Rhinolophus ferrumequinum: one gene and its partners. The protein of the gene in region 4 purifies or fractionates together with the protein of the main gene of each other region. This does not show direct contact. Links are inferred from orthologs where the notes say so. Each region holds a gene or a part of one and is shown on either strand. Other genes may lie near its edges.

Evidence for each region.
Region 1: the proteins of U2AF2 (region 4) and PRPF19 purify together in Homo sapiens (affinity purification with western blotting; 3 studies listed by BioGRID, with this or other methods). This does not show direct contact. The link is inferred for Rhinolophus ferrumequinum from reciprocal best matches to the Homo sapiens genes U2AF2 and PRPF19.
Region 2: the proteins of U2AF2 (region 4) and HNRNPF fractionate together in Homo sapiens (co-fractionation; 3 studies listed by BioGRID, with this or other methods). This does not show direct contact. The link is inferred for Rhinolophus ferrumequinum from reciprocal best matches to the Homo sapiens genes U2AF2 and HNRNPF.
Region 3: the proteins of U2AF2 (region 4) and CPSF6 fractionate together in Homo sapiens (co-fractionation; 3 studies listed by BioGRID, with this or other methods). This does not show direct contact. The link is inferred for Rhinolophus ferrumequinum from reciprocal best matches to the Homo sapiens genes U2AF2 and CPSF6.

The regions. Positions count from the first base shown.
Region 1 is NC_046294.1:9,871,267-9,878,621, reverse strand, and holds the start of PRPF19 (pre-mRNA-processing factor 19), read right to left. Parts: upstream 3,021-7,355; 5' UTR 2,796-3,020; coding exon 2,777-2,795; intron 1,137-2,776; coding exon 987-1,136; intron 799-986; coding exon 722-798; intron 1-721. UniProt on the Homo sapiens protein: Ubiquitin-protein ligase which is a core component of several complexes mainly involved pre-mRNA splicing and DNA repair. Required for pre-mRNA splicing as component of the spliceosome.
Region 2 is NC_046299.1:66,653,789-66,660,900, forward strand, and holds the start of HNRNPF (heterogeneous nuclear ribonucleoprotein F), read left to right. Parts: upstream 1-4,100; 5' UTR 4,101-4,158; intron 4,159-4,478; 5' UTR 4,479-4,544; intron 4,545-4,887; exon of another isoform or gene 4,888-5,026; intron 5,027-7,112.
Region 3 is NC_046293.1:65,272,694-65,279,871, reverse strand, and holds the start of CPSF6 (cleavage and polyadenylation specificity factor subunit 6), read right to left. Parts: upstream 3,006-7,178; 5' UTR 2,882-3,005; coding exon 2,822-2,881; intron 1-2,821. UniProt on the Homo sapiens protein: Component of the cleavage factor Im (CFIm) complex that functions as an activator of the pre-mRNA 3'-end cleavage and polyadenylation processing required for the maturation of pre-mRNA into functional mRNAs.
Region 4 is NC_046298.1:48,710,105-48,717,892, reverse strand, and holds the start of U2AF2 (splicing factor U2AF 65 kDa subunit), read right to left. Parts: upstream 3,004-7,788; 5' UTR 2,937-3,003; coding exon 2,888-2,936; intron 1-2,887. Other genes in the region: CCDC106 (coiled-coil domain-containing protein 106), read right to left, coding at 5,066-5,382, 6,010-6,222, 7,307-7,471, 7,569-7,676. UniProt on the Homo sapiens protein: Plays a role in pre-mRNA splicing and 3'-end processing. By recruiting PRPF19 and the PRP19C/Prp19 complex/NTC/Nineteen complex to the RNA polymerase II C-terminal domain (CTD), and thereby pre-mRNA, may couple transcription to splicing.

The DNA of each region.
Region 1 (7,355 bases), on a different chromosome or scaffold from region 4:
CTCTGAGGGGGTGCACCCAGCAGAAGCGTCAGCCCTCGAGAAGAGGACACTGCCGCCAATGCTCACGGCCTAGAACAGTATCAGTGACCCCAGCACCATCTGAGTGGCCCAGAACCAGAGAGTGAGCGACTCCTGAGCTCCTAGCCCCTGCCCCAACACTGGGCACACGGACAGGAGTGGGAGCCAGCTCTTCCCCACCCCCAGCTCCACTAATTTACTGGCAAATCTCAGATGTCATGCCATCACCTCACCAAAAGGGAATAAAAACGCTGCTGCTATTTACTGACTGCCCTCACTGTGTCAGGCACTGCGCCAGGCAGTCCCTCAAGATATATTCATTCATTCCTATTTTAGAGCACCTACTGTGTGCCAGGTGTTGCTGTCGGTGCTGGGGATATACCAATGAATTAAACAAGTCCCTCATGTCATGCAACTTCTAATCTAATTTTATTCTAATTCTCCCAAAACCCCGAGAGACAGACACTAATCTGTGTTGTACAGTCAGGAAAACCAGGACTCGAATACGAGTGATTTGTCCAAGGGCACGCGGAGCTCAGTGTAGAACTCAGATCTGTGTGACTTCAACAACCAGTCTCCTACTCTGTGAGCATCCTGCCCCACAAAAGAGAAAATAATGCTCCATCCTTCCCACCCCCAAGTCCTAGTCCAGTGATCACTCTCTTCAAGTGGGGAGGATATTAGTTCTCTTCCAGAAACTCACCCACTCATCCTGTAAGGCCTTCAGAATGGCCGGGATGCTGGTGGCTGAAGGAGGCTTGGGCCGGATTGGGTGAGCAACTGCCGAGAGAGGAAAAGCAGGTATGAAGAACCAAAACCCAGGGGACCCTTGCTTTTCCTCTCCGCCACTCTTCTCCCTTTAGTCTGCATTGCCAGGGCACTAGCCCCTCCTCCCATGAGCTGGCACCACCTCCCCCGTCTCAGGCTCGGAGCTAAGATGACCCTGGACTGAGGCAGCCCCTAGGCACCTTTGATGTCGATGAGCTGCTCCTCAGACAGAGGCTGGTTGTTGATGGGGTCTGTGCCATTCTCTGCAATATACTTCTCAATGAGCCGCCGCTCGTAGACATGATTAGACACCGGGGACACACATGGGTGCTCTGGCACTTCATTGGAGACTGTGGAGAAAAGGCAGGCCGTGAGCTCAGGGGGTGAAAGGGAACTTGGGCCAAGGGGATGCCTCACCTGCTGCCGGCCCCAACAAGACCCCGGGTTCCCACACTGAACTAACAGGAATTAAGACATGACACCAAGCCAGTTTTGTACTGTCCCCAGCATGCTTTCCAGCTACCTATCTAGCTTCTCCTACACTCAACAAATAATTATTGCACAACTACTATGTGCCAGGCCCCTGGAGAGCAGTCAATCAGCGCTGCCCGTCTCATTTCTGAACAAAGATGCTTTGGAGACACACATTAAGCCACTCAAATCTCAGTCTAGAGCCTAGATAGACTGTCAGACTATGAAATGATAAAGCAATGTGACAAGTGCTATATGATACATTTCATTGTTTGCCATGCACGACTGTAAACACTCTCCATTGATTTCTCATCCTCACAGTCACCCCCAACAGAGGTATCATTTACACGCCTGCCTCAGTGGTCTGTGCAGCCCTCCAGGAGGAGACTGCAGCTGTCTCTGGCTTCCAGTACGATGCAGATCCCCAGCAGGCACTCGGTAAACACCTACCAGATGAGTGAATGAGAGGAAGGATGGTGCTGGATGGAAAAGAGCTTCCTCAAGACTGAAAGGAAACAGTGAATGTGAAAACACTCCACAAACTGTGATTTCTTCAATGTGAAGGGTTCCTTTTCCTAGCTGTCAGGGCCCTTCCTTCTCCCCCCATCCCCCTTTTTTTTCTTTTTGATTTATGGAGAGGCTCTGAGAGTAAAGGGCTTGAGAATTAGGAAGCAAATAGAGAAAGGGATGATGAAACAACAAGGATGGAAAACATCTGCAAGCCACGATAAAATACCAAAAGGAAAGATGATACAAGCATGAAAAAAAGGCATGGATTCCGGGTCAGAGAACCTGGCTCCATCACCCTGCTCGGCCACTTACTAGCTGTGCAGCTTTCGACAAGCCACACTCTCCCGGAGCCTAACATCCTCGTCTGAGAAAGCGGACCTTTATTTCAGCTTTGGAGAATTGGCGTGAGGATAAAATGAGCTCACAGGCTTGGAAGTGCGCTGTACACCAATAAAGGCGTTACAAATGTTCGCCTCCGAGGCTGAAAGCTAGAGACCTGGCTTCCAGCCCTGTCACTACCTCTAATTCACTGTGCCCTTCACAAGTTGCAGAAGCTCTGCCTACCCGAGCGGGACCCCCTACAAAACCCAGTACAATGCCCTCATTTTGCAGATGGGAAACTGAGGCCCAGGGCCCTGCACCAGATCGCAAAGCCAATCGGAGGCGGACCCTGCAGAAGCCCTCGGGTATCCTGATTCCTACACCAGAGCTGGTTCCCCTGCACCAGCTCCCTGTGTCCAGGCCTCAGTTTCCACTGCGTAAACGAGGTGGTTAAGCTCAGCAATGCCTGCGACAATAAACCTGAGGCGTTACGTAAACTGTGAAGCGCTGCGCAAATGCACCCCACGCTAAGGAGGAGGACCACCTCCGAGCTGACAGGCCGCTGCCCTGTCTCCCAGGAGCCCCGTTTTCACCTCCGCCCCTGCCCCGGCGCCTGAGAAGCCCGCAGATCCTCCCGCTCGGCTCTCCGGCCTCCTGTGACCCGCGATCGGCCGCAGCCAATACTCACTGGAGCAGATCAGGGACATGGCGCCGTCGCTGCGCTCCGAGGCGCCACACACCGGGCTCCGGGATTAGCTTCTGACCTGCCGCGGGCCACTTCCGGTTCCCCGCTGCTTCCGGGAAGCCCCGCGGCGAGCGGGGAGCTGCCCCAGTCGAGCGATGTTCCCTTAGCCCTTCACGTGGGACTGCGGCGGCTCGCGCGCCTCAGCCTCCTGCCCCTAACGGAAACTGCCCTTTCCCAGAATGCAGCCGGGCAGGAAAGGGCCCGCCACGGGACACTCGACTATTTCCGGAACGGCTCGGCTCCTTCCGTTAAGCGCCGCCGAGTGCGGGAGAAGGGAGGGGCCGCGGGAGGAGATCTGAAACTACATTTCCCATAATGCAGTGAGAATTTAGAGACTCTGCTAGGAGACCCGGTGAAGAAAGCGCCAACGCAGACGGGTTGAGAAACTAACACCGACCAAGAAACCGTTCTAGGCCTGTCCCTATTACCAATTTGCTCCGCGATCTCCCCTTTCCTACATGACTTCCACCTCCCTTCCAACTCAGATGGTGTAGGGTTCTTTGTGGATATCTATAAGGTACTCCCAGAAATCATGTACAGAACGTGGTGCGGACTATAAGGGATCCAGACCAACCAGCAGGACATCCAGGTATGGTCGGTGAAGTCTTCTTTGCTGAAGAGGTGTGAATGAGCTAGACTTTAACAGACGGGCAATATTCAGATAGAAGGGAAGAATCCTAAAAGGAGGAACAGCACAAGCAAAGGCTTGGAGAGAAGAATAAAAGTTGCAGGTGTGAAGGGTATTATGGCTTAGTGGCCAAGAGCATGGACTCTGACGTCAGATTGCGTGCTCTAATCCCAGCTCCACCCAGCTAGTAATGGGTGTGAACTTCTCTGCCTTAATTTCCTCATCTGTAAAATAGGGCAGTGATAACAAGTGTTGAACTAACAACCCATAGGGTTATTGCTAGGAGTTGATATTTAAAAAGTGCTTTGAACGAAGCCTGGCACATAGTAAGTAAAATATAAATATTCATGTTTGTTATCATTATCCCGAAAGCCAAGCCAAACTACTGTCATCTCTCCCCTGCATCAATAAAATAGCATCCTAATTGGTCTTGTTTTCAACCTGGCCTCCTCCTACTCCATTTTCCACGGAACAGCCAGTGATCTACTTTCAATGAAAAATCTGTTCCCACTACTCTCCAGGCTTTGCATTCATTCAACAAATATTGACTGGGTAACTCCTAGCTGATAACTGGAGATACAAATGGTGAATAAGAAAGACAAGGTTTCTTTGGAGCTTACACTTTATTGCGGGGAAGGGGGGAGCCATAGACATATAGACAATCAACACATAAAAAAAAAAAAAATTCCAAAGAGTGGTAAGTGCTAAGAATAAAACAAATCAGAGTAAAGTAGATAGGAGCTGCTGTGGATGGGAGGAATAGGCTACTTTTAAGCAGGGTATTCAGGGAGGGCATCTCTGAGGAGGTGACATTTTTGTTGAGACCCGAATGAGGAACAGTGTTTCTGGCAGAGGAAACTTGCCCCCAAGTCCTGCACCATTTAGCTCATGCCGACCACCATAGTCTCACCCCATCTTCTCTCCAGCCACACTGGTCTTTCAAGTCCTCAAACTTACTCTGGCTGGTTCCAGTATTTTCACCTGGAACACTTTCCTCAACTTCCTCCCTTCTCCTCCTCTCCCATCCCCTCCAAAATAAACTTCAACCTCACCTTAAGTGGTGTTTCCTCTGGAGCCTTTTTCTTGACCTCTCACTGAAGTTCAGTGCCCACAGTAGTCTGTAATATTCCTCTGAGCCACTTTGGATAACTATAATCAATTATTCACAAGGATCTGTTTGATGTCTGGGTTCTCCGCTAGACCATAAACTCCTTGATGGCAGGAACCATAGTTGTGCTCTCTGGTCACTGTTGTTTCTCAGAGTGTAACACAATGCCTGACAGATAGCAGAAACTTCATAACTGTTGTTGGTTGAATGACAGATTGCCTGACAGACCAGGCATCTTAAGTTCTTGGCTGTGGTAGGAAATAAAATGGATCTGTTTAGGTGGGGTCTTGAGCTAGAGGTGGTTAGACTTGATTGGGCTGGCAGAAGAACAGCCACTGAGCTATGGAATGATAACCACACTTCCAGAAGATTCCTCTGGAAGATATTACTGGATGGGTTGGAAGGGGACAGACTGGAAGGCAAGAGACCCAGTAATTCATTTTTTTGACAGATCTTAATGGAGGACCCACTGTATGCTAGTCCAGGCACTGAACTAGGCATTGGGGCTCCCACTATGAGCAAACCCAGAGGTATCCCTATATTGGGGAGCTTATGGCTGTGACAGAAGGATGGAGGAAAAGGGGAGTCCTTTCCAGCCTTTTGTGTTTCAAAAGCCAGCCCCTCAGGCGATAGAAAGGATTCAGGGCAACTGATTTTGGAGTAAATATTACAGGTAAGAACTTGATCTCAGATTCCTCCCTACTTCCCCCAATCTCAACCTTCCCACAGAGGAGATAAAAATTCCCTAGGCTAGGAAGGGAGACACAGGAAGAAAGGTATATATGCGTAGTTATTGATGGATCCCCAAGAAAGGGACTCTATGCCCTGCTTCCCAGGGCCAAGGCTGCTTGGAAAGCAAGAGAACACATTGGCCAATAACTCCAAAGAAGCTGCATTTCGTAGGTAGATTCTGTGGCAAACTGTGTGGACAAGTGACAGAGGAAAGAGTGAAGATCAGGGATATATAAAACTGAGGCATTTTAACCAAGCTGCTAAAATTATTAACATGAAGGTTGAGGCATGAGGAAAGACTCCATTCTTGTTCTAATTAGCAGGGGAACTTAAACTTTTTGAAATTTCCAGTCCTGCATCAATGCCTGGATATGCATCCAGACATATACCAGACCTCCAGATAATTTTGGTTACCTCTTGAAGGACTCACGTATCCAGACTACTGACAAGACCAGACCTCCTGGTGCCCATCTCCTGGACCACCTGGCATCCATCATCCAGACTGCCTGACTGATAACCACCTGGGACCAATCCTAGGGCTAAGAATGCAGGACTGATAATTCTCAAAAATGTTCGTTTAACTATATGAACTCTTAACTTTTCTTTCTTCTTTGGGACACACCTGGGTTTGTTTGTTTTTGTTTGTTTGTTTTTTGCCTAGCTGCGTTTCCAATTTGCAAACTCTAAAGCCCTTGAATTAATTTTTATAATTTACTTCTAGCAAAGTCTCCAGACTCTTTTCGAATTCATCTGACATGACAGAGGCTTGGGCAGGACAATGCAGCTCAAACAACAGACACTGAGGATTAGATGAATCCCCCCACCCACCCCACCCCCTCCCGCCACCACCCCCATGTTAATTTTCCAAAAGGTCTGTATAACCTGAAAAATCAAGGGTGGGAAGAACCCTGAACTGTCTGAGATTGTTTCCACCACTCATATAGAAAGAGTTGAAAAGAAATTAGCTAGTCATAGTGGGGGAAAGCTACATTTCTTGCACGGGAAAGTCTGTGACCTGAGATTGGTGGTAGTCCTACAAATCAGAAACAATCTCAAAAGCAAATGTAAAGTTCCAACTATTTCCAGGATGCTACCAGAGACGGCTGGGGAAGACAGAGAGACCCTTAGCAGAGGCAGGAAGTGATGAGTATCCAGACAGAGGAAGATGGATGAGAGATGTACTGTGAAACGTCTGAAGAAAAGAAACAACTGGGATTGATGACTGACTGGTTGCTACTGAGTGCGTGATCTGGGAAGAAGGCAGACTTAGAAGGCTGATTCAGGTAGAGGAGGGAAAAAGAGTTCCATTTTAGAGTGTTGAGTTTCAGGAACTGCTTTAACATCGGAGGGGAGCTTTCCAATGGCAGCCAATGTGATCACAACATTTGGACAGCAGCTTGGATGTTTTTTTTAAAATCTTCATTCTGTTACTTCAGTGAATCTCCACACCTACTGTGAAATGGTATTTTTAGGACCTTATAGTACTTTATAGTAATGCGGAAACGAATGAGGCTCAGAGACATGAAGCAACGTGCCTGGAATCACAAAGCCAGCAAGGGATCACCTCCTTTCAAATCCTTGGTCGCTCCTCCTCGCCATGCCGCCTTTTTTTTTTTTTTTTTTTTTTTTTGGTAGAGCTCAGGTCTGGGAGTTTGTTCCTTTCCTTGCATAAAATTAAATGAACATTTTGGGAGCCATCTCCAGAGTCCGGGTGTGAAATTGCTCTCAGAAGGTGCAGGTGCATTTCCCCACCATTGGGTGCCTCTAACTGCACGTCAAACACCTTTTCCCTTTGTGCCTTTTTAGCGCGCGAAAAGTTTCTCAAAAGACTAGGGGCTCTCGGGCGCCCCTTCCTTAGAACAATGCCTACGAGGCATCACGGGACTCGAGAACTACATTGCCCGAAATGCCCAGAGGCTGGAGAGGCTTCGACCCCAAATTCAAAGACCCAGTTTACCCACTCTACAGCCCAGATATAGTCACTTAGTTCCCCTTTCCCGCCAGAGACTTCCATCCCCTGCTCGAACTCCCGATCCCACTCGTCACCGTGTCGG
Region 2 (7,112 bases), on a different chromosome or scaffold from region 4:
TCATTTAGAGTAGGAGTATGGTGGCCTAGAATGTGAGAGCCTGATAAGGGAAGGGTTTGGTGGTGTGGACGTAATCAGCTGTTCAAGAGGAACTGACAGCTTCTAGCCAGGGCCTCAAAAATGGATCAAGATAGCATATACTTACCCACACAATCTATATGATAGGAAAAAAATCTTTAAAGAAATTTATGTAAATGGGCCACACATTTTGTTACTTCTCTGATCCCAAAACTTCAATATTCCCCACTGACCGTATATTGCTTTTTAAAGAGTTGAAAAGCACCTCGGAGAACAGGTTTATCTGTAATTTTTGGTCTGAAAACAATGGAAGGAAATAGTCAATATTTCAAAATATCAGTATATTTTAATCTGTATAATATCTGTAACTTTCTGTGTTTTATTTATAATTTTTAATGAAGTTACTGCAAGAGAGGCAGAAGAGAAGCTGCAAGCTGCCTTGTACCCAGCACCTTTCTTACCCCCTTCCACCTTTAGAATTGACATATAACAGCACATCTTGATCCAAGTGAAGTTTTCTGACTCTGCTGAGGCCCCACAGAAGTGAAGGCATCTAACTGTACATATTCTGGGCTGGGAAAACTCATTATCAGGCTAAAAGGTGACAAGTCAGTATGGAGAGAGCTAGACCTCACTTCACTAATGTCCAAGCTAGGGCTTGTTGCAGGCCGGGCCTGCTGCAGAAATGCTTAAAGTTAAGGGCAACCACCCAACACTGCTTAGTCTCTACCTGGAGTCTTTTGCTAGGCAAAGAAACCAATTCAAGCAAGTAACCATCAAGCAAGGGGGTACCATAACTCCTTTCACTAACACAAAGTGCTGTTTGAAAGAACTGTAAATACAAAGGTCAGCCTCCCCTGGTGGGAACTCACATGTTGTTGTTTTTTTATTAGTTTCAGGTGTACAAGACAATGTAATAGTTAGACACTTACACCCCTCACAGTGATAACCCCCTCCCCCAATCTACTACCCCTCTGACATTGTATATAGCTGTTACAATTCCATTGACTATTCCCTATGCTGTACTCCACATCCTGTGACTATATACATATTATAGTTGACATTCAGCCTCAGCTTCAGGTGTACACTGCAGTGGTCAGGCATCTACACTGTCCATGAAGTGGTCTCCCTAATAAGACAAATGCCCATCTGACACCCTACAAAATATTTACAACATTATTGATTATATTCCCCACAGAACTCCTTGAATAAGTATTAGCACTGCTTCATAGGTTCATTTTCTATATTGATCAAGAAAATTAACCAGACAAGGCTGTGACTGCTGAACTTGACTGCATCCCACCTGGGCTATCTTATTCTCATCTCTACCTACCAGATAGAGCACCTGGCCTCAAGGAAAAACATTACATTTGGACAGGACCTATGCTGTGTCTGGACAGTTCAATTTGCTTTCTCACTTCATTCTTTCCTTCTCTCAGATGGGAAAGGGAGGCAGAAGAGGGGCCTGAAAAACCTCCTCTCCCTGAGCTCAGAAATGAAGCAGTTGGGCGGCCAGTTGGATCAGCTGGTCAGAGTGCCATGCTCATGACACCCAGGTCGCCGGTTCAATTCCCACATGGGCCAGTGAGTTGTGCCCTCCACAACTAGATTGAAAACGACTCGACATGGAGCTAATGGATCCTGGAAAAACACATTGTTTCCCAATAAAATAAAAACAAACTAAAAAAAGAAAAAAAATAGTGCAGCAGTTGAGTGCAGACTCCGGAACCAGAACGTCTCAGCTTCATGCCCAGACTGTCACCTACAAGCTGAGCAATCTTAGGAAAGTTACCTTAATGACTCTGTACCTCAGTTTCCTTCCACTTAGTGTGATGATTGTAATAACATCTACCACTGTTTAAATGAGATTAAGTATTCAGAATAGTGTAAAGCACATTGAAGGTGAAATACATGTTAGCTATTGCTATCACTGCTGTGTGGCAGATACTGTGATTTTTGTCTAAAAGCCTTTGCTGAGCTACGGTGATCCTGCCTACCCACTGGTACTCTCCTGGAGAAGGAGGTCAAACTTAATGCGTAAAGTGTTCTTTCAAGGGTTATCAACTGGAAAATTTTAATAGACTCTAGACAATACAAACCTCTGTATCATCTGTTATGGACTAATGGTTTCCAGAGAGGAGCTTATTTTAAAACTTAAAATATTGAAAGTTATTAAATTTGTGATAATCTATTTACATAAACAAAAGGCAGGTAAGTCTGTAAGGACACAGCTTGGGGTGATCTTCATTTGTGGTGAATTCAATTGTTTTTAAACCATGTACCTTAAGGGTACATCTCCGTGCAGTTACTCTCAAGAATCAAAAAAAATCTGAGATTTCAGAGCTTAGATGAGACACTTCTGTAGATACAGAGATGAAAAGAAAGGGTGGAGGACCCCTGGCCCCACAGCTGAAGTGGTCCCCAGTTGGTGAGATAAGCCAGACATTTGTGAAGAAGTCCTGGGATCTGTAACACCAGTGAACGATTCCTGCACTTGCTGTGGAAGTGGGCTTATATGTGACTACTCATATCATAGTGCACATCTGGGATGACTTCCTAGGACTAGACACAGGCTCAAAATCAGTCCAAGGCCCTCGCCTTTCATTCAGAAGACTAGAAAGATTATTGCATCATTGATGAATGATAGAGAACTCTCAGACTTGAAAGGATCAAAGAGCCACTAGGCTCAAAGGCTCTCTTAATGGACTACATGAATATATCTTCCGGGACATGGTTTCATAGTCCCTAAACTTAGAAGCAGTACTATTTTTTGGTTTAATTTTAATATTTGCCTCAGATTGACTACTTCCATTTTCTCTCCAGAAACAGACTTTTCTACAGCATGAACTGTGATGGAGTCATTGTGGGGTTTCTTAAAAATACCTACCTGATTTTAGTAGGACCCGTTTTCTGTAATTTTGCCTTTGATTAATTTTCACCTCTCTGACAGCTCCCGCTTTTACTCTTCCCACTTTTGTCTTTCTTGGAAAAAACATTTTTTGAGAAACAGTGCTCCTTCCTCTACTATCTTCCAGTCATAATCTTACACTATTTCAAGCACTCCCTTAATTTAACTGGTGATTTTAAAATAATATTCTGCTTAACTTGTAATGAGTGCTTGATTATTTTTTTCTTCTTTTTTCTTTTCTTTTCCTTTTTTTAAAATTTTATTGGGGAAGGGGAACAGGACTTTATTGGCGAACAGTGTGTACTTCCAGGACTTTTTTTTTTTTTTCCCAAGTTGTTGTCCTTTCAATCGTAGTCGTAGAGGGTGCCGTTCAGCTTCAAGTTGTTGTCCTTTCAGTCTTAGTTGTAGAGGGCAGAGACCACCATCCCTTGCAGGACTGGAGGAGTTGAACCCGCAACCTTGTGGTTGAGAGCCCACTGGCCCATGTGGGAATCAAACCCGGCAGCCTTAGGAGTTAGGAGCACGGAGCTCCAACAGCCTGACTTTGGACACCAGGCCGGCTCCTATTTTTTTCTTCTTTATGAAGACTTTCCAAAAACAAAATGATAATAATTATTGACTCTAGAACACATCAAGAAAATCTGCTCCACTGTCTCAGGCTGTAGCCATCCATTTTCAGGCAGCGGGTAGTTTCAGATACTAACTGAAAACCGTGCATTCCCCCTGAGTCTTGAGTCACCTTCAGAGTCTGTGGGACTTCTTAGCCCAAGTGATAGTCACATGAGCAACCTCAGTCAACCTAATTCCTCCCTGAAGCCTGCCCTTGGAACCTCCTTTATCCGTCTCTGCGGTTCAGCTTCCTCTTTCTTCCTCAGCAGGAAACGACTCTCATTTACTTCTCTCATGCTGGTCTTTAACCCATGCATCTTTGGGCTCACTGTTTGGGGGCCTCCCCCAGTCAGTAACTTAAAGAGCAATAGGTAAACGCACTGGTCAGCTGAGCCAGGATTGCCGGAGACCAGCCGCTACCCTCGATGCACTCTCCCCTCCGTAGGCTCCAGCCCCGCCCCCATCCGGCTGACCAATCCCCGGCTCTGCACAGAGCGCGTCACAATGGCGGCCTTGCAGCACCGCCCCCGGACGCCTGCCGCGAAGGCCACGCCCCGCCACGGTCTTTGCGTCCTTCCGGTTCTGTGGTGGAAGTAGGACTGCGTCTCGTCCTCCTGGAAAAGGTGGGGTTCCGTGGGGAAACCGACCCTCGGTCGCGCGGGCAGCCAGAAGCGAGGTTGGGGCGCGGGCTTCCGGGGCTGCTGCTCCCGGGCGCTGGGGCGCAGAGCCGAGCGGGGACGGGCACACCGAGAGCAGCAGCGCTTCCCTAAACGCCGCGTGCGCATGGCGGGCGGGAGTTGTGGGCACCAGCCCGCCGCGCGCCTGACCTCCTCCCCCAGGCCCCGCCCAGGGCGCGCTGCCAGGGGTATCCATGGTGATGGTAAACAAGCCTCAACTGTTTCAGTTACAACTGCCAAGTCTCCCGCGTTCTACCCTCCTCTAGGTGCTCAGCGACGACCAAGGTGCCGGGTGTGAAGAAGAGCGGGAGCGTGGAGACTCGGAGCCCGAGGTGAGGGGCGGGACGGGCGGAATCTCCGAGGCCAATAGCCGCACACCTGGGACTGATCGGGGACTGGGCCCCCTCGAGGTAGGGGCGGCAGGGCTGAGAATTGGGTTTGTCCCAGATGAGCTTGAGGTCCAGGGCCTTACATTCGGGGACTAAATCTCAGGGCTGAGATTTGGGGTCCGAAGACGACGGGCCCGCGGCGAGGAAGGGAAAGAGGGCCTCGTGCGGAGCCCAAGCGCCTCTGCCAGGAATAAGGGGAGAGCACCGGGTGACCGTCGGAGAGGGAATTCGTTTAAAAATGAAAGCAGTCCCTCCACGTGGCTGGAAGCGCCGGGGAGTTGCGCAGGACTGGTTGGGAACTGACTCCTCCCCCTCCCACGTTCCCGCTCGCCCGGCCTCCACTCTCGGCCTTTGCGGCCTTTCTTCCTTTTGGTGCGGCGTGTGTGCTCTGAGCGCTTGTCTGCGTCTGTCTCCTGCCGTGAGAGGTATTGTGTCTGCATTTTGGCTGAAACTCGGGTTCTTATTATCTTTGCCTGTTGATCACACTTCTGCCGAACGAGGTTGATTAGTTAGCCGTTTCTTTTTTTCTTGTCTTTTACTTATTTGTATCATTGAATATATTTGGTGGTTCTTGACTGCGCCTAAGAAAGTTATCGACGCTGTAGGCTCTTGCACTGCGCCCTCTGCTTCCCCTGTCTTGTGTGGTTCACTGAAGGTGGCGCCGGCGGCCTGGGTGACGCCGCGCCAGTCGCGTGGACCCTACCTACCCTGGTCTTTAATAGAAACGGTTGGAAAGCCACAAGCCGGGGAGAGCCCCCTTTCCAGGGCACTTAGGAGACTGCCTTCCTGTGTCCCGTTGATCCCGCGGGGTCCCTTCGCGGCAGTTTCTTTACCCTGGAGGCCCGAGGACGAAAGAACGTGGTTAAGTATTTTTCACATCTGTTTGCGGGGTGCCGGGGGCTCCCTGCCATTGCAGGCTGGGATGGGGGGGTGACGAGAGAGGAACCCGCGAGCGGCTGCGCGCTGAAGGGGGACCGTGAGGCAGCGGCAGCTTCCGGGAACCGCGCGGGTCGGCGGAGGGTAGAGGAAGGAGATCCGAGGCGCCTGAGCTTAGGGGCGGCCCTTGCGCGTCCCAAACCTGGTGGAGCAGGGAGAGTTTTGAATGCTGAAATTATCTTTTAATTCACAACGCCATCGATACTACCGATCTTAATGTAATTTTCACTATTTCAGTCACGTTTTTAAAAGTTTACTATCTTTCTGAATTTCTTTCTAGTAATGAAAATACCTTGGGCTCTCTGGTTAGACAAAACATACTAGGATCTATCGGTGAAAAGTGATGTTTTCAGTGCTAATTTCTAGACGAGATTGTTTTGTTAACTGATGTTAAACGAGTCCATTCTTTGTCTTGGGGATCTCATGTTCCTGTCTGCATTTCTGTAAATTGAGTAGGTTTGTTATTTCCATGTTGTGGTCTTTTTGTTTTTAGTTTTTTTTATTTTAGTAACATTCTTTTTGTAGTATTTGCTTTTATTACCTTTTTAAACTGCCAAGTGACTGGTTTTCACTTGAGTATTGTTACAAAGCTCCCATTAAACAAAATATTCAAGTAAAAATGTAAATCGATTTAAGGGCAAAGAGTGATTCAACAGGACAGTTAGTCCTTGTATAGAAGGGCCAAAACTGAAGGAGCGTGTGGAGGCACACGGTGCCCATCAGGAGAGGTGTCTGGAGAGACGGCAGAAATGGGAGGGTTTCCCTCTTTCACGGAGGTAACTTCCCAGAAACTTCCCCTCCGAAGTGTGAGCTCTAGCTCTCAGGTTCTTTGTAGAACCACATTAATTGACCCTTACTGGGTTCGGCACAGAGTTAGGTGTTTTACAACATTTTCTTAATCACATGCTCATAACCAGGCTATAAGGGGGTATTGCTTTTATCCCCCATTTTACAGATGAGAAAATGGAGGCTGGGAGACAAGAAGACACTTGACCAGTGACACAGCTGGGACTAGGACTCAGGTCTTTTTGACAGGAGCAGTCCTCTCCTGCCAGGGCCCCTGCCCCAACCTGGTTGCCCCGAAACAGGGTTCTTGTGCGAGACAAAAGGCAGGGCAGAAGGAGAACCAGGCTCAGCTATGACCAGCCTGGTTTGTTTTACAGCACGTTCCAGACATAAGATTTTTATCCATAAATATTTCAGCTTATATTTCTAAGGACCTTTAAAATATAATCACAATATCATCACACCTAAAGAAATAATAATTCTTTGATATCAACAAATACCCAGTGTTTAAATATACCTGATTGTTTAATAAGTATTTTTATACAGCTGGTTGGTTTGAATTGGGATCCAAATAAGATCACACCTTAATATTTGGTAGATTATATCTCTTTAAGTTATGTTTTAATCCAGAGCAGTCCTGTCCAATAGAAATAAAATAGAAGCCACATAGTTAATTTTACATTTTCTAATAGTAAAAAAAAAAGCAATTCACTTTAATAATTTACTTTAACCTAATGTAGATCCAAAATATCATTCATCGTGTAAATTTTTTAATTATCTTTTTTTTAA
Region 3 (7,178 bases), on a different chromosome or scaffold from region 4:
TTCAATCTAGTTGTGGAGGGCACAGCTCACAGTGGCCCATGTGGGGATCGAACCGGCAACCTTGTTAAGAGCATGGCACTCTAACCAACTGAGCTATCCAGCTGTCTCCATTACACTTTATACTGTACTTTCCCAAAATACACACTCAAAAAACACCTTCATGAAAGTACGACCATTTAAAATAGAAGAAATGGGAAATACATACTCTACAGAGAATTTCAAAGTACGTATACAAATTCAATGAAAACTGCAGTTCACATTAAAGAACAAAAAAATTTTTTAAATGTTTACAGCAGTTTAGAAGCTAAAGTAAATCAAGACTGGTTATACTTAGTAAAACATTTTACTCAACTACAATAAAGTGAATGTTTACTATACACATACAAATAAGGTCATCAGCTAATAGAGTGCAAATTAATCAGTAATAATTTTGTAGTTGCCTCTAATTCTGATGAAAATTCAGAAAACTATTTGAATAATAGTAACATTTGAAAAAACAGGATGAACCTTGTTTTGGCCATATTTTGTACAGGAATTGCTACAGCAAGCAATAGAGTACAAAGGCCAATGACATGCAAAATAACAAAACAAAGCTTCCATTTAATCCCCCCATTAATCTATCCAAAAGTACAAATATTTTACTGGTAAAATTATACAACTATGTGTGAGATATAATGCTATTGGTACAAGTCAACAAAAAGTTATTTTATTTTTTTTATTGAAAATAAATTTTTTTTTCAAAGTTACATTTTAAAAAGAACCATATGAAGTAAATTCCTCACTAGGGCCACAAAATTCTAATCTCATCTTACCTCCTGCTCAGTCATAGAGATAAGCACTAGTTACAGCACAGAGATAAGCATGTATCATTTCATACAGCAATATGGAATAGAGAAAAGCCCACCCCCAATTTAGTTTATGAAAGCCTAAAATATATTTCATGGAGAGGTCCTAAAGAAAGCTCAACTTCTAAAATTGCACACCAATTTTTCCTTTATTGTGGGTAGAAAGGCAAAGCAAATGTATATTCCTGCAAGTAAATCTAATGAAAAGAGATTTGAACACTTAATTGTTCCTTTACTTGGTATGGAGGTATGGCCCTCTTTTGCATGAAATGTTATACTCATTTGATAAATAAAAATTCCTGAAAGTCTATGTCCGACTTAAAAGCATTAGAATCTGACTGTAGCACTCCAGAATTTTCTAATTTGTCACTGACACCATTAAGGCATCATATATTCAAAATATAAGCACAATAAAAACAAAAATTTTAAAGCTTAACCTTTGATTACACTGGGTTACATTTAAACATATTCAGTCTCTAACAGAGTAGGAAACATTTAAGCTAACTGAAAATTTGTTTCTAATATTTAAACCAGGGGCACAAAGTCATTCCCGAAAAAAAGAGCGGTAAGGATTACTAGCTTGCGCAATTAAAAAAAAAAAAACACATCCTGAGCCCCTAGTCACAAATAAGATCCTTAACGGAAAGGAAGAAACAAACAGATTAATCAGTAGAATTTGATTAAGTTTCTTATACGGACCTGGAAAATACAAAAAATAAAGCTTTCAGGTGCACTGCAGTTAGGCACAATTTGATTTTTAAAAATGTGTTACTACATAAAAGACAGTAAAGATGTGAACAGCAGGTTTAGAGCTTAAACGTCACTGCTCTAGTACGAGATCTTTTGCAAGGATGCCCAACATCAGACATCACAGCTCCGCGGCTTAGTTCTAGGCCAACGGTGGCCTGTGAGATACCGGAAAAACATTGCATTCTCACTTTCTGCACCCTTTCAAAATGTAAAGCAGATCCCTTGGAGGGTATCTAACATTTTGCTTTTGAAAATCGGGTCACATCTACATCCCTTTATTTTTAAACTATAGCGTAAGCATTTCAGGTGGGCATTCTTTATTTTAACCACTCCACTGATCTCTTGGTGAGCTACCATCTTTCCTGTTCCATCCAACCATCGCGCTTCTAAGTCTTCCTTTTGCCCAGACCACCTATCTTCACAGGTATTTTCATCAGAAAGGCCAAGAACGACTGGGCCTCAAAGGCACTGCCAGCCCTCTACCATCGAGGCAGGACCCAGCGCACCGACTTTTAAAGGATCTACATGGGTCCAAAAGTCAAAGGACTTGTTGCAAACGCGCCCACATCCAAGCCGCCGTCTGAAAGTGTGAGGAGAGGAGGAGAAAGGCGGCACGCCGAAACCTGTCGCAAACGCGAGCAGGAGGGCCCAGGAAACCCGGCGCGCGGGATACAAAGGGCGGTGAATGCGGCCTTCCATGAGGCGACCGTGCGCGGACACGGAGACAAAATGGAGCGACGACAGGAATCGGAGCCCGAGCGGCAGGCAAGGCCGGGGAAGAGGCGGGGGCCGGCGCGCGCCCCGCCGGGCTCGCTCCTCGACCTGGCGGCAAGGGAGGGGGCGCGGTAGCGACCCGTGCTGAACCCCCGCCACACACACGCGGCCCCACTGCCCGGGCCTAGTGCGGCGGGAAGCGCCCGCCCGCCCGCCGCCGCTAACAATGGGAGGCGAGGTAGCGGCGAGGGAGGGGCCGACGGCGGCTGCACAGCGGCCCGCGTCCGCGCTCTGGGCCCCCGCGGCTGGCCGCACCGCCCTCGGTCTGCGAAACGTCGCGGTAGAACGAGGGGCGAGAGGGACGCCGCGCCGGAGCCGGGCGGCACGGCCCACGGGCGGCAAGGGCGCACGGGCTGCAGCCGCGCCGGCTCGCAGCCCACGACTGGCCCGGCTCAGCGTCCGGGCCGCAACCCTGCCCGCTTCGGCGGCGTAGGCCTGGGGCCCTCACGTACCTGGTTGAACTCTTCACCCACATCCGCGTAAATGTCTATGTGGTCCACACCGTCCGCCATTTTTCCTCGGCCTCGGCCGCTGCCGCCGCCGCCGCCTCCTGCAGGTCCGCCCGCCGCGGCAGCAGCAGCGGATCTGGCGGCGGGGGCGGGGCGCGCTGCGTCACTTCCGAGGCCTGGGGGATTGAGGCGGGGGCGGAGGGGGGCTGCCTGGGGCAGCGGTCTCCCGTGCAACCTCGCCAGGCGGCGGGCCCAGAAGAAAAACTGCGTCCCTGAGGGTAGAGGCAGTTTCTTTTGTGTGTCTGGGTTAGGCCTGCAGGCGAGAGCGGGGCCGCGGGGGGGGGGGGCGGCGGGGGGGGGGCGGCGGGGGGACGTCCCAGTTTCCAGAGACTGTTTCCACGTTGCCCCAGGCACACGCAAGCGTGTGGTAATATTTTCTCTTCCCACTGTTTCTCACAGCTCGGGCTTCTAGAAAGGTGGGAGTTACATGTCCACGATTAAATACGAAGTGTAAATTCGCATTCTACGAGCGCCTTGAGAGCGAGAACAAGGTCTTTACCCCTGCATCCCTACTCAGAGACCAGCAGAGTTTCATTTGCCTCGTAAATGCCAGAAAACCCGTTGATGGTTAGCTTGAGTTATTTGCATGCGACTTATGTTATTTGCGTGCTGTTTATGTTTCCGGCTCTGTCTTAGGTCATCTTCTTTCATCTCCTCTTCCCCAATTCATTGTTCTTCATTTTTTCCTTCTTAGATCTGACGTTCGTTTTCTTTGGAATAATTCAGATACCTCTAATTTAAATGCAGTCAGCTTAGAGCCCACCCAACAAGGGGCAGGCTCCTTGAGGCAAGAGGTTTCTCTCTTACAATCACAAAATATCCCAGTGAGAAGGGAACCAAGGTGTTACTAGGTCTAAACATCCCATTTTACAGAAGAGGGAAAAAAGGCCTTAATAAAATCAAAGTGATTTAACCATTTTCAGTAAAGAAAAAACTCTTGCCACCCATACTTCAAAGATATCGTTCCAGTTTGAAACCTGACCCCCCCCCCATTTTAATTTCTTTTTCATTCATTTAAAAACCCACCAAATTAGAGTCTGTTTCCCAAGATATGAACTGGCCAGAAATCATTCATACAATGATGAACCAAGCAATATCTGTACTTGGTATGGAGGAAAAAGCGTGGAGTCATAGACGTCAATCTGGTGATCTGGATACAAATTTCTAGTCAGACTCTTTGCAAGCTGGGTGAACCTCCGTCAAGTTACCTAATTTCTCTCATGTTCAACCTTAGAATCCTTAAAATAGGGGTAATAATATTTGTTTAGTCAAGGTTGAAGGTTGATGGTGGTTTTAAATGAGGTAGTATGCAAAATGCCCTGTCTTCTTTTGCTTCTTGGAAATACTGTACTAATTTCCTTTTTTCCATGGGGCTTCGTAGAACAGCCACTCATGATAAAAGATGGGGACAGTTTTGAGATAATGTGGTGGGCACAATAATGGCCCATCATCGATGGCCACATCCCAATCCCCAGAACCTGTGAATATGTTACCTTACATTGCAAAAGGGACTTTGGGATATGATTAAGGATCTTGAGATGAGATTATCCTTGTTTTCCTGGTGGGCCCAAAGTAATCACAATTATCCTTATAAGTGAAAGAAAACAAGAGAGTCAGAGAAGATGTGATGATAGAAGCAGTTTATGTTCTTTCAGTGTACTTAAAACTGATTTCCAGATTCCGACTTCTGTTGTTACCTGTGAAAAGTCAGCTGTCAGTGTAGCTGTTTCTTGGAAGGTTATCAGGGGGGTTTTATCCCCTCTGGCTGCTTTTTGAGATTTTTTTTCTCTCAGGCTTTGGTGTTCTGCTCTTTCATTATATATGTTTGGAAGTGTATGTCTCTTTATTTATAATGCTTGGGATTTACTGGGCCTCCTGAATACATTGATTGATGCCTTTCATGAGTTCTGAAAAATTCTCAGTCATTACTTTTTCAGATATTGCTTCTGCCCCAATCTCTCTTCTTTCCTCTATGCCTCCAATTAAATGTTATATCTTTTCTGTTTACTATTTACTATTTCTCTTACCTTCTCTTTTTTATTTTTTTATCCTTTTATCTCCGTATGCTTCATTTTGAATAGATTTTTTTTTTCTATTTTCTATATTATTAATTTTCTCTCCTATGGTGTTAGCATCTAATTCTTTGCCAAAATTGTCAATCTTGGCTTTTATCTCTTTGAATGTAGCAGGTATCATTGGTATACGATCTGGGTCACTGATAATTCCAGTATCTGGAGTCTCATTGGGTCTGTTGTTGGTTCTTTGTTCTAGTTATTTGTTGTATAGTGTTCATGCTGGTTCTCACTCGTGTTGTCTTTTTACCTGACTATATTTGTGTGCTTGACATTTTAATTGAAACCCTTGAAGATACAATGTGAGACTTCTGATGGTTTTGTGTTTTTTTTTAAATAAAGGATTTTCATTTTCTTCTGGCAGGTACCTTGGGGCACCAACACATCCAGATGATTGGGAACCTTGAGGAAACTAATTTAGTTTGGCTTGCCTTTACCTCCCAGGTGCTGTCCTTTTGAGGACCAGCCCAAAACCTGATTTACCAGAGTCACCACTCTTGGCAGGTCCTAGACTCTATACTTTGTTCCCCTAGATGTCAAAAGTGCAGCTCCACCTCTCAACCATATCGTTTGAATAATCTAAAAATGTCTCCCAGGGCAAAAGCACTCTGAATGCATAGACCCAATCCTCTTCTGCTTCTTGACCAGGTGATTCCTCACTCGCTCCCTGGTTACCTTTTTGATAATTTTAAAATATTGTTTCAGGTGTTAAAAAGAAACAACAGACCCCAAATGGAGTCACTTGTAGTAAGCCCTACCATGCCTTAATAATACCTAACTTCATTGCAGTTTCAGCCTCTCTCAGGAGTGAAATTTTAAACCAATCAGTCTGGAATTTCCTGGTTACCACTAGTTTGGTAATCTATCTGATAAGACCCCCTGCCTTCTGCTAAGAAGAGGTGCCCTTAATAGTTCACTCTTAATGTTTTCTCCCCCACTCATTTCTACATATAAAAGCCATCCATTTTATACAGCTCCTGGAGCACCTTTCTTTTTTCTAGATGGGATGCTGAGGAATTCATAAGTCATTCAGTAAAGCCAAGTAGGTCTCTAAACTTACTCAGCTGAATTTTTCGTTCTTTAGCACAGGGTACCTCCTTACTTGACGATGTTTTAAAAATGAAATATCATTATAGATGACCAAAAATGCATAATAATAACAACAAAACACTCCACCACTTATTGACTACCTTCCATGCACCAACGTCTTCGTTAGACATCTTATCATTATTAATGTACGCAGATGAAAGATTGGAGACTTGAGTTCTTGTCCTGGCTTTACTACTGACTAGCCAAGTAACCTAAGAGTAGTCCTTTCCCTCAAGTCGTCCATGAAGGTCCCTCTCAGTTCTGAAATTCTATTATTCAAACCTACATAGAATTGAAAGTCCAAAGTGCCTTGGGAGGAATTCGACAATGGTATGTTAACTGTTGCAGCAGAACTTCCTTCTAGCCCACCTGCATTAGTTTCCTATTGCTGCTGTAATGAATTTAGTGGCTTGAAACCACACAAATTTATTATAGTTGTGGAGGTCAGAAGTCCAAAATGTATCTCACTGGACTAACATCAAGGAGTTCGCAGGGCTGCGTTCTTTCTGGAGACTCTAAAGGAGAGTCCATTTTCTTGTCTTTCTCACATTCTTTGGCTCTGGACCCCTTCCCACAATGACATCACTAAACGGTATAAACGATAATAAAATCAAAATATTTAAGAAGAGTAGTCGAGAGGTTAGAAAAGAAGTAAATAATGTCCTAAGGTTATCTCTATATCTGCTTCTGGCCTTCTAAGCTTCTCTGTACATCTACTTCTCTGTATAGAGGAACTCGCCTTTCCTTGCACGTGGCTATGCGACAATGGCAACATCAACTTCAGAGTTCAGATCTCCACCATTGAAGAAAATGGCCATCTGTCTTGGTTGCAATTGCAAAAATCTAAGGAGTAAGCAACTGATCAGTTCAGTTTTTATAGGAATCTACTCCTAGTCCAGTGAAGTTTGTCGAAGGGGATAGGGGTCACAGACTAAGAACATGGCTTAAGAATTCTACTCTGTGAGTTAGGAAAGGGTGGAGAATTGTCCATGAAAGAAGGTTGCTTTGAGCTAAGCAGACATCCCAAAGGTTGTCTAACACATTTCACCTATGGTATGACAACATGTAGACAAAGGCCTGATGATTGGGGAAAATCCATAATCCATAAATAGTTCACACATGCTATCAATCTCACTTCA
Region 4 (7,788 bases):
CATCCACACTGCTGTCTTATATTTTTCTGATATGATTTAACAGGAACTTTTTGTAAATGTACCTCAATTCCAGAATCCCTGAAACTCAAAAAAAACATGCACCTAAGTAGGTAAGAGACACAGCAGCAAAGAATGGCATGCTTTCTAAAACTAGAACCTATGTTAAATGTTTTACTTGCACTTAATCTCTACTAATGCTTTGGGAATACCCTGCTGGGGGCTCATGTAACAGACAGGGAAACTGTGGCACTGGACAGTCACATGACTGGCGCAAAGGCTAAAAAGCAAGGAAGTAGTGAGCCTGAACGTGAGCTTTGTCACGTCAGCAAGTTCGGTAAAGCACCAGGCACACTCCTGAACTCAGGCAGAACACTCCGGGGTCTGGCTGGAACCACTAGTGACAATGGGATTATCTCCTTGAAGGCAAAAACATAAGTAAATCAAAGACTGGAAACATGAGCGGACACTCAGAGAGCCACGGGTAAGCACACAGGAGGCTCTGGGCCTCTGGCTCCATGTTTACAAGGTGGGCGAGCTACAAGCCCCAAGAGCCCTTCCTGCTGCTAAGGCTCCGAAACAGACAAGCAGGCAGAAAAGAACCGACACAGAGGAAGCAGTGATGCCTGCTGGGTGCTGGGATGCAGACCAGGAAATTAATTCCCTGGAGACACAGGTGCACTAGGCAGGGGCTAAAGTAGGGAGGAGGCTGGCTCAGAGACAAAGACCTACAGGCGGGACAACACGTGGGCAGCGCTTCCCCCTAAGGCAGGAGTCCTCCTCTCCCCCCACACACACTGATCCCGGACAGATAGGAACAGAAAGGAAGCTCTGATTGTTCAAAATACTGTTGCCACCTTTTGGGAACAGCTACCAACCCAGGGGACTTGTGAGGGCTGAGGGCATGGCCGCCCAGTACCAGGAGGGCCAAGCACTCAGGCAGCAAGCACATCTGCAAGGGCCTCAAGGAAGGGCTCAACCATCTCCACCTGGCGGTCCAGCCATGCACCCAGCCAGAACTCAGGGTCAGTTGCAGCTTTTCCACTTACCAACTATATAAAACCACGCAAGAACAACTAAACCTTTAAAACTTGGTTTTTTCTTCTTTAAACTAGGGTCCCTCTACCTCCTCCCCCCAGGTGTATGAGGATTTGAGGTTTGGAATGCACCTTCCCCAACTCTGACATCACCTCTGAGGGAGCTGATGACCTGCCTCTACTTCCTCTCTGTGAGTTTATCACACTAAGGATGATTTCACAATATAAAACACTGCTTGTTGGGCACTTAATGTATGCCAAGCCACATACCACACACTTCACGATTTCCCATTTAATTTCAGGTCTGCCTCTGACCAGACCTGGGAAAATTTTCAGACTTTTTGAATCTGTTTCCTCCTCTGCAAAAACAAGAAAATCATTTCAGCCTCACTGGGCTGTTACAAGGCTCCACTTAGAAAAACCATGCAAAGAGCTTAGCAAGGTGCCTAGCACGTGACAGGCGCTCAGAGTTTAACTGTTATCATCCTTATTTCAAAAATCGTGAAAACCATATTAATCAACAGACGACAACAAACAGGCACAAAGGAATTAAAGTAGCACACCTAAGCAACAAAGTAGCTTTCAACTCAGGTACGACCAACTTCCAAGCTTGTGCTGTTAAGCAGTACGAGTGAAGACAGACATGCGGAGGGCACTCAAAAACCGGGACTTCTTCCCCAGGCACTGTCTCCTAACGCAGCTACCCGTTACTCAACTCTAGGCTGGGTTCAAGGGAAAGTCCTGCCCCTCTCATTCGGCCAGCCAAACACGGGCATCTTAAGCCTCAAGTCCCTCCACCTTCCCTCAGCCTAAGTTTCTTCACTCTCAAAGCAAAACAGGAAGGTCAAGGAGTTTTTAAACGTCTAACGACTCTCCCAGTTCCAATATTCTTGGAGTCCCTCAACTGACCGGCACCCGCGTGGTCCCGTGCTTTGACTGGGCATCACCTACAAGTACTTGCCGCCCACCCTTTCCTACGGTACTCAACTGGCCCAGGTCCCCTTACTCTCAAGAGCCTCCGTTTCCCCATCTCTACGTTGAGATGATTTATGAGCTTCAGTCTAGATGCCCCGAGTTTGGGATAGAAGACGTGGTGTTTGTCTCTAGCTGGGGATACTGGGAACAAACATTCCACATTGTGATCGTCGCCACTGCCAAAGCCCGCGTGTACGCAAAACGTACGTGCGGGAGAAATACTTCAAGAATGCACAGGGTGGAAAATAAAACACAGGGTGCCCCTTTCACGAGGGAACCCGCGTCACACGCGGTGACCCGAGGCCCCCCACGACCAGCAGCCAGGGCGGGAACCCTGACGAGCGAGTCCGCAGGACACCGCGCAAAGAGCAGCCGTCGGAGAATGGCCGGCCCAAGCCGCCGCCTTGCCCGAGCCCACGTGAACGGTGGGGGGGAGGGGGGCGCTCACAACCGCCATTTTGGAACAAAGGGGGCGTGGAGACCCAGGCCACAGGCCCGGCCGGAACCGGAAGTGCCAAGGAAGCGGGAGTAAAGGGGGGAATCGCGGGACCCGATATATACACTCTCTTCCTCAGATTAGCAATAACAGGAGTCCGCAAGGGGACACCCGGGGCCCTCCCATCCGCGCCACCTGCGCCGGGAACCACGTGGGGCGCGGAACGGAACGTGACGCGCATGCGTGTGGGCCCGCGCTCGCCACCCCCTCCCGCGCGCGGAGGCACGCCGGGCGGTCACGTGAGCGAGTGCGCGCCGCGGGACGGAGGGGGGGGTGCCGCGCGGCCCTGAGAGGACGGGGAAGCGACGAGGAAAATGGCGGGGGACACGGAGGGAAGCCAAGAGCCGCCCCGCCCGCCGCCCCACGCCCCCGGCGCCCTCACCTTGCTTATTTTCGTTGAGCTGCCGCTCGAACTCGTCGAAGTCCGACATGCTGAAGCGGCCGTGTAGGCCCTGTACAGCTCTCGCCTCGCCTTGCCGCCCGCCCGCTCCAGCCGCTTCGGCTACTTCCGCCGCTCGCTTCGGCTACTTCCGGGCGCCCCCAGCGCGCCGCCGCCTCCTCCTGCCTAATCAAGCCCAGGCCGCCCGCCCAGCCCCGGCTCCACCCCTCTCCCGGCCGGCCCGCCCGCCCGCCCGCAAAGCGCCCCTCCCCCAGAGCTTGTTTCCGAAGCGCGTCGGCTATTTCCGGACTGTAGAGGCAGGAGTCGGGTGCGGTGTCTTCGGCAGCTTCCGAAAACACCCGAAGCGAAGGTTTCGCGGAGTTCCCAGGTTGTAAACTCTTCGGAAATTGTCTCTTCAACGTTCGGGTGTTTCCGTAGGTTCTCGCCTTCCTCTGCACCCAACCACCCTCTGCCCGCCAAAGGTTCGGCTTCTTCCGACAATTCAAAACGTCCCAGTCTTTCACTGCTTCCGCAGGGGCTCCCCGCTCTTATCCGCCGGCCCTATCTGAGCAACCCACTACTTCTGACAAGCTTAATCGTCCTAGTCTTCGGCACTTCCCGAAGGTTTCCAGCGCTCGCCCTCAGGCCCCGCAGAGATTATGCTAGATTCCAAGTTTCGGCTCTTTCCGGAGATTCCGTTGGCTCACTCCTCCCCACTGGCACAGCTTCGGCTCCTTCCGCCACCGCTTCGGAAAGGCCCCACTCACCGAGACAGCTTCGGCCTTTTCCGTCTGTTCTTCGGCTCCTTCCGGCTTGGGGAACAGAAAAGGGAGGGAGGACGAAGACGAGGTGGGTCAAGGGAAGGGATACGGGGAAGGGGCGGGGTCCCGGCTCCGGACTCCTGGCTCTCCGGGTGGGGAGAGTGGAGAAAAAGAAGGGCCGATCTCGTGGATGGCCTAAGAAGGTTGCGCGAGACAAAAGCAGCCAGCGGGGTGAACGGTGCGCGCAGCCGCTGCGGAGGTTGGTAGCGCGGCTTTGTGCGCCTGCGCAGGATGGAAGAGGAGGGGCGCGAGATGGCCTTCTGCACCTGCGTAGACGTTGGTCTGAGGCGCGGTTTCTCACTCCGCGAGGAACGGGTTCCAGAGCCTCCAGCACGCGTGCGCGAGACTTTCCCTTCTTCCAGGGAAGAAGCTGAATTCCCGACTGTTAAGCTGGGCCGCCTGGTCCTGGTTGCTGTAGCAACCGCGTAAGTGCGGCCGCCGGCAAAGTCGAGGACGCTTCCAGGAGACTGAATGTCCCACTACCGCCTCCTAGCGGGCGGTCGGAAGCCTCCTCCCAGAGGAGCTCCTCCCACCCTCCCACGCCACGGTGGCCGCCTGTGCTGGAGGTCATTGAGTACTGCCTCCTGCCGCCGCGCCTCTAGTCCAAACAGCCCAATGGGTAGTGTTCACTCCTCTTTTCCAGAGCTCTGCCCCTCCGTGTTCCCGGAACACAGCTGCTACTCCCCCTCCCACCAATGCCTACGGGGGTGCTAATTACACCCTGTCTCCCCAACCTCCCCGGTTTTCCTCCCGACCGCCTGCTTCCTGGAAGCCCCAGGGCTTCTGTCACTGTCTCCAGGGCAACGGCCACCCCCTCCCAGAAAGAGGCCGGGACCTAGTTTATTCCAAATTTTATCGTCTTTTTAATTTAAATTCTCTGAATAATAATCTGCTTCACGTTGACTGGGGGGTCCGGAATTAGGGTCCTCGGGGCTGGGGGCGGAGAACGGGTATGTACAGGGCCCCCGCCCCGTAGAATCCGGCAGTTTCCCCAGGAGGAAGGACCCAGTGAGGGCAGGAAGGGTGCCAGTGTTTAGGAAAGGGCAGAACCCAGCTCCTGGGCAGTGAGTAGCTCTTGGGAGCCTGGCTAAGTGAGGACCCCCAACGCTGGGAATGCAGAGGGAGGGGATGATGCTGGGAATGTGGGAGGCAAGGAGGACAGGTCTGTATAGAAGGGACCAGGAGTGGGAGTGGGGGTCTGCAGGAGGGAGAGGAGAGAGGCACACGCGGGAACACACCATCCACCCCCAGGCCCTAGCGAGGGCACACCACTCATGCACACACTCGCCCACGTTCCAGGTAAGGTGGAGGGGAAGGGAAGTGGGAGTCGGAGGGCAGGTCCCGGGCCAGGTGGGCGGGATCACCGCTTGAAACGGTAGGTGATGGGAAGCAGCAGCTTGCTCTTCTTGAGGGCCTGCACCTTCTTGAGGGTCTCGTCATCCAAGGCCAGGAAGCAGCGGCGCGAGTACTCCAGCAAACGCTCCTTGGAGGGGTCGAACTCACCCACCTCCGCCAGCTTCTCAGGGGCAACAATGAGCAACTCTGCGATAGGCGTGGTCAGCGCCACCGTGTTGCGGTCCACACGGTGGTGCTCAAAGGCCCGTGACATGCTCTTCAGCTTCTGGAAGGTGCCCAGGATCTTCTTGTAGCGGCAGAGGACACCGTCTGCGTCCTTCACTGCAGGGCCAAGGAGGGGTGATAGAGATACGGTAGAGAGAGACAGACATGGGAAGATACAGACGTGATGAAGAAATGGAGATAGAGGAGGTTGGAGGGGGTGGAGATAGACATGAGATGACAGATCCACAGGGGGAATTCAAATGTGGAGGAAGTGGGACAGAAATGGGAGGGCAGATGTGAGGACAAGAGAGATGCGGTGAGGGGCTCACACAGAGCAAAGGGACAGACAGGGACGATGTGGCCAAGGAGCCCAATACAGGAAGAGCAGGAGAACAAAACGGGAAACGGGAGGAAAATGCGGTGAAGAGATGTGAGAAATGGAGACAGGATTTAGGGGAGAGGAAAATTGAAGGAAGGCCGGGAGGAGAGGATGAGGAGGAAAATACAAACAGGAGAGCAGGTCAGAGGTTTGAGTTGCCAGCCACCTGAGCCATCGCCCTTCCCCTTGTTACTGATGTTCGGGAAGGTCTAGAGAGGGTGGACCAAAATGTACAGTATGAACCAGGACCACACATGAAGGCTGGAACCCACCAGCAGGTCTGGTCTGTTACAAATAGGGAAGGGAGGTGACACAGCAAGTCTCAGCCCAGAGCTCTCACACTGCACCCCGCGCCCCCAGCTCACCCCGCTGCCTCTCCCGAGCTTTGGGCTTCCCAAAGCGCCTCCGGCTAGGGCCTCCCTTCTGCCTCTGCCTCTTCCTGTCGACGTTACTGCCTTCTTCAGATACTCCGCTGATCGTGGAGGCTGCCGACTCAGGGTCTGAGGCCTCGCCCCCAGCCCCACCCCGGCTGTCGCCCTCAACCCGCCGGGGCCCAGGCTTCACCCGGCAGTGGTCCTCTGGAGAGAGGTGGGAGAGACATAACAAACACACATTGACTGCAGGAACAGGAGGGAGGAGGAAGTAAGAGGTGTGTCTGCAAGGTGGGGATGGAGGTCACATCGCACAGGTCCCCAGGAAGGGAGGCCTCCCAAGAAAACCGGTAGATAGGAAATTAGGTCCCTGCAAGAGATAGCTGAATATAGGACAGTAAGCTGGGATTTGGGGGTGGATATTGTGGGTTGTGGCTTGGGTGAGGATGCTCAGCGGACTCCTAAACTTGGTGGCAAGAGGTCTGGAGGACGAACCAAATGGACCAAGAGCAGACCGGGGACCTCAGGAGAATCTATGACTATGTGGGGTTCCCACAGTGGAGGACCTCCAGAAGAGTGGACTCAGGACACCCTAGGGGCAGGAAAGGCCTGGGGTGGAGGATTGAGAGCCTGAGAGAAATCTTAGGCTCTGTGTCTAGTAGGCTGGGAATGGCAGGTGCCTGCCTCCACCTAGAAGAGGGAGCGCTGAAGCTCTATGCAGGACCCCCAGAAGGTGGGCTGGGGGAGGTCCAGTGTTGAGAAAGTACAGAGGCCACTGGGCCTGACCATCCTGGGTAGGTTCCGATCATTGTGGGGAGACAACACTATGTCCCAGCAACCCAAGCTAGAGATGGTTCCAGAGCACAGGGGTCGCCAATAACATCAATATTGAAAGGAAAAAAAGAAAAACAGGCTCCTCGTCCTGGCTTTCAGTGGAATTCACAGAGAAGGATGTGGAAGCTTGCAAGGGAGCCAGTCAGGGGCTGTGCACCAAGAGAGGGAGTGTAGAGGCGAGATTCTCCAAAACATGGCTAAAGATTTGGCAAAGGAAAGCCCTCTCTGCAGGAGGGATGGGTCACAGGGTCCTGCCGACCAACAGAAGCAGGAATGAAGCTGGACTTGGGGTTCCAGAGACACCACGGGGTTAAAGGACACCATGGGGATGCCAGGTCCCCATTGAGCCACCAAAGAATGTGTGGGTGAAAAGGGTCCTGTGTCCCCAAAAAGAGCCAGAGCTAGGTGTCAGGGCCCAGGAGTCGGTTGAGGGGACAGCCTCATGGGGTGACCTCACCTGCATCCATCCGCGCAGAGGAGATGAACTTGTCCAGCTGACACCGCAAAAAGTCCCTCTCCTCCTCCAGGTCCTCGATGCGCTTCTGCAGCCATGAGTTCCGTTCCAGGGCCATGTGCAGCTGCGCCCTGACGCTGTTCATCAGGGATGCAGCCTCCGGAGGCTCTAGTGACAGTGGGGGACCCTGGTCACACCCCAGGCCTCAAGGGCCCTGCACCCCAGCTGACTCGCGTCCTTCCCACTCCCCCCACCCCCAGCTCACCCTCAAAGTTTCCCCGAGAGGGGCTCAGACTGTAAAAGAGCTGTGGGTCTAGGTGGGGCGACTCGTCGAAGGGGATGGAGATCTCAAAGGCCTCATCGTCCTTCTTCACTGGAGAGGAGAAGCCTGGGGTCAGCCCAGGGAAGTCCCCGGGCCCCTCAGACCAGCCCCCAACCACAGCAGCCCTGGGAAGGAGAGGGCAGAAGTGGGCAGAGTGGCTGTG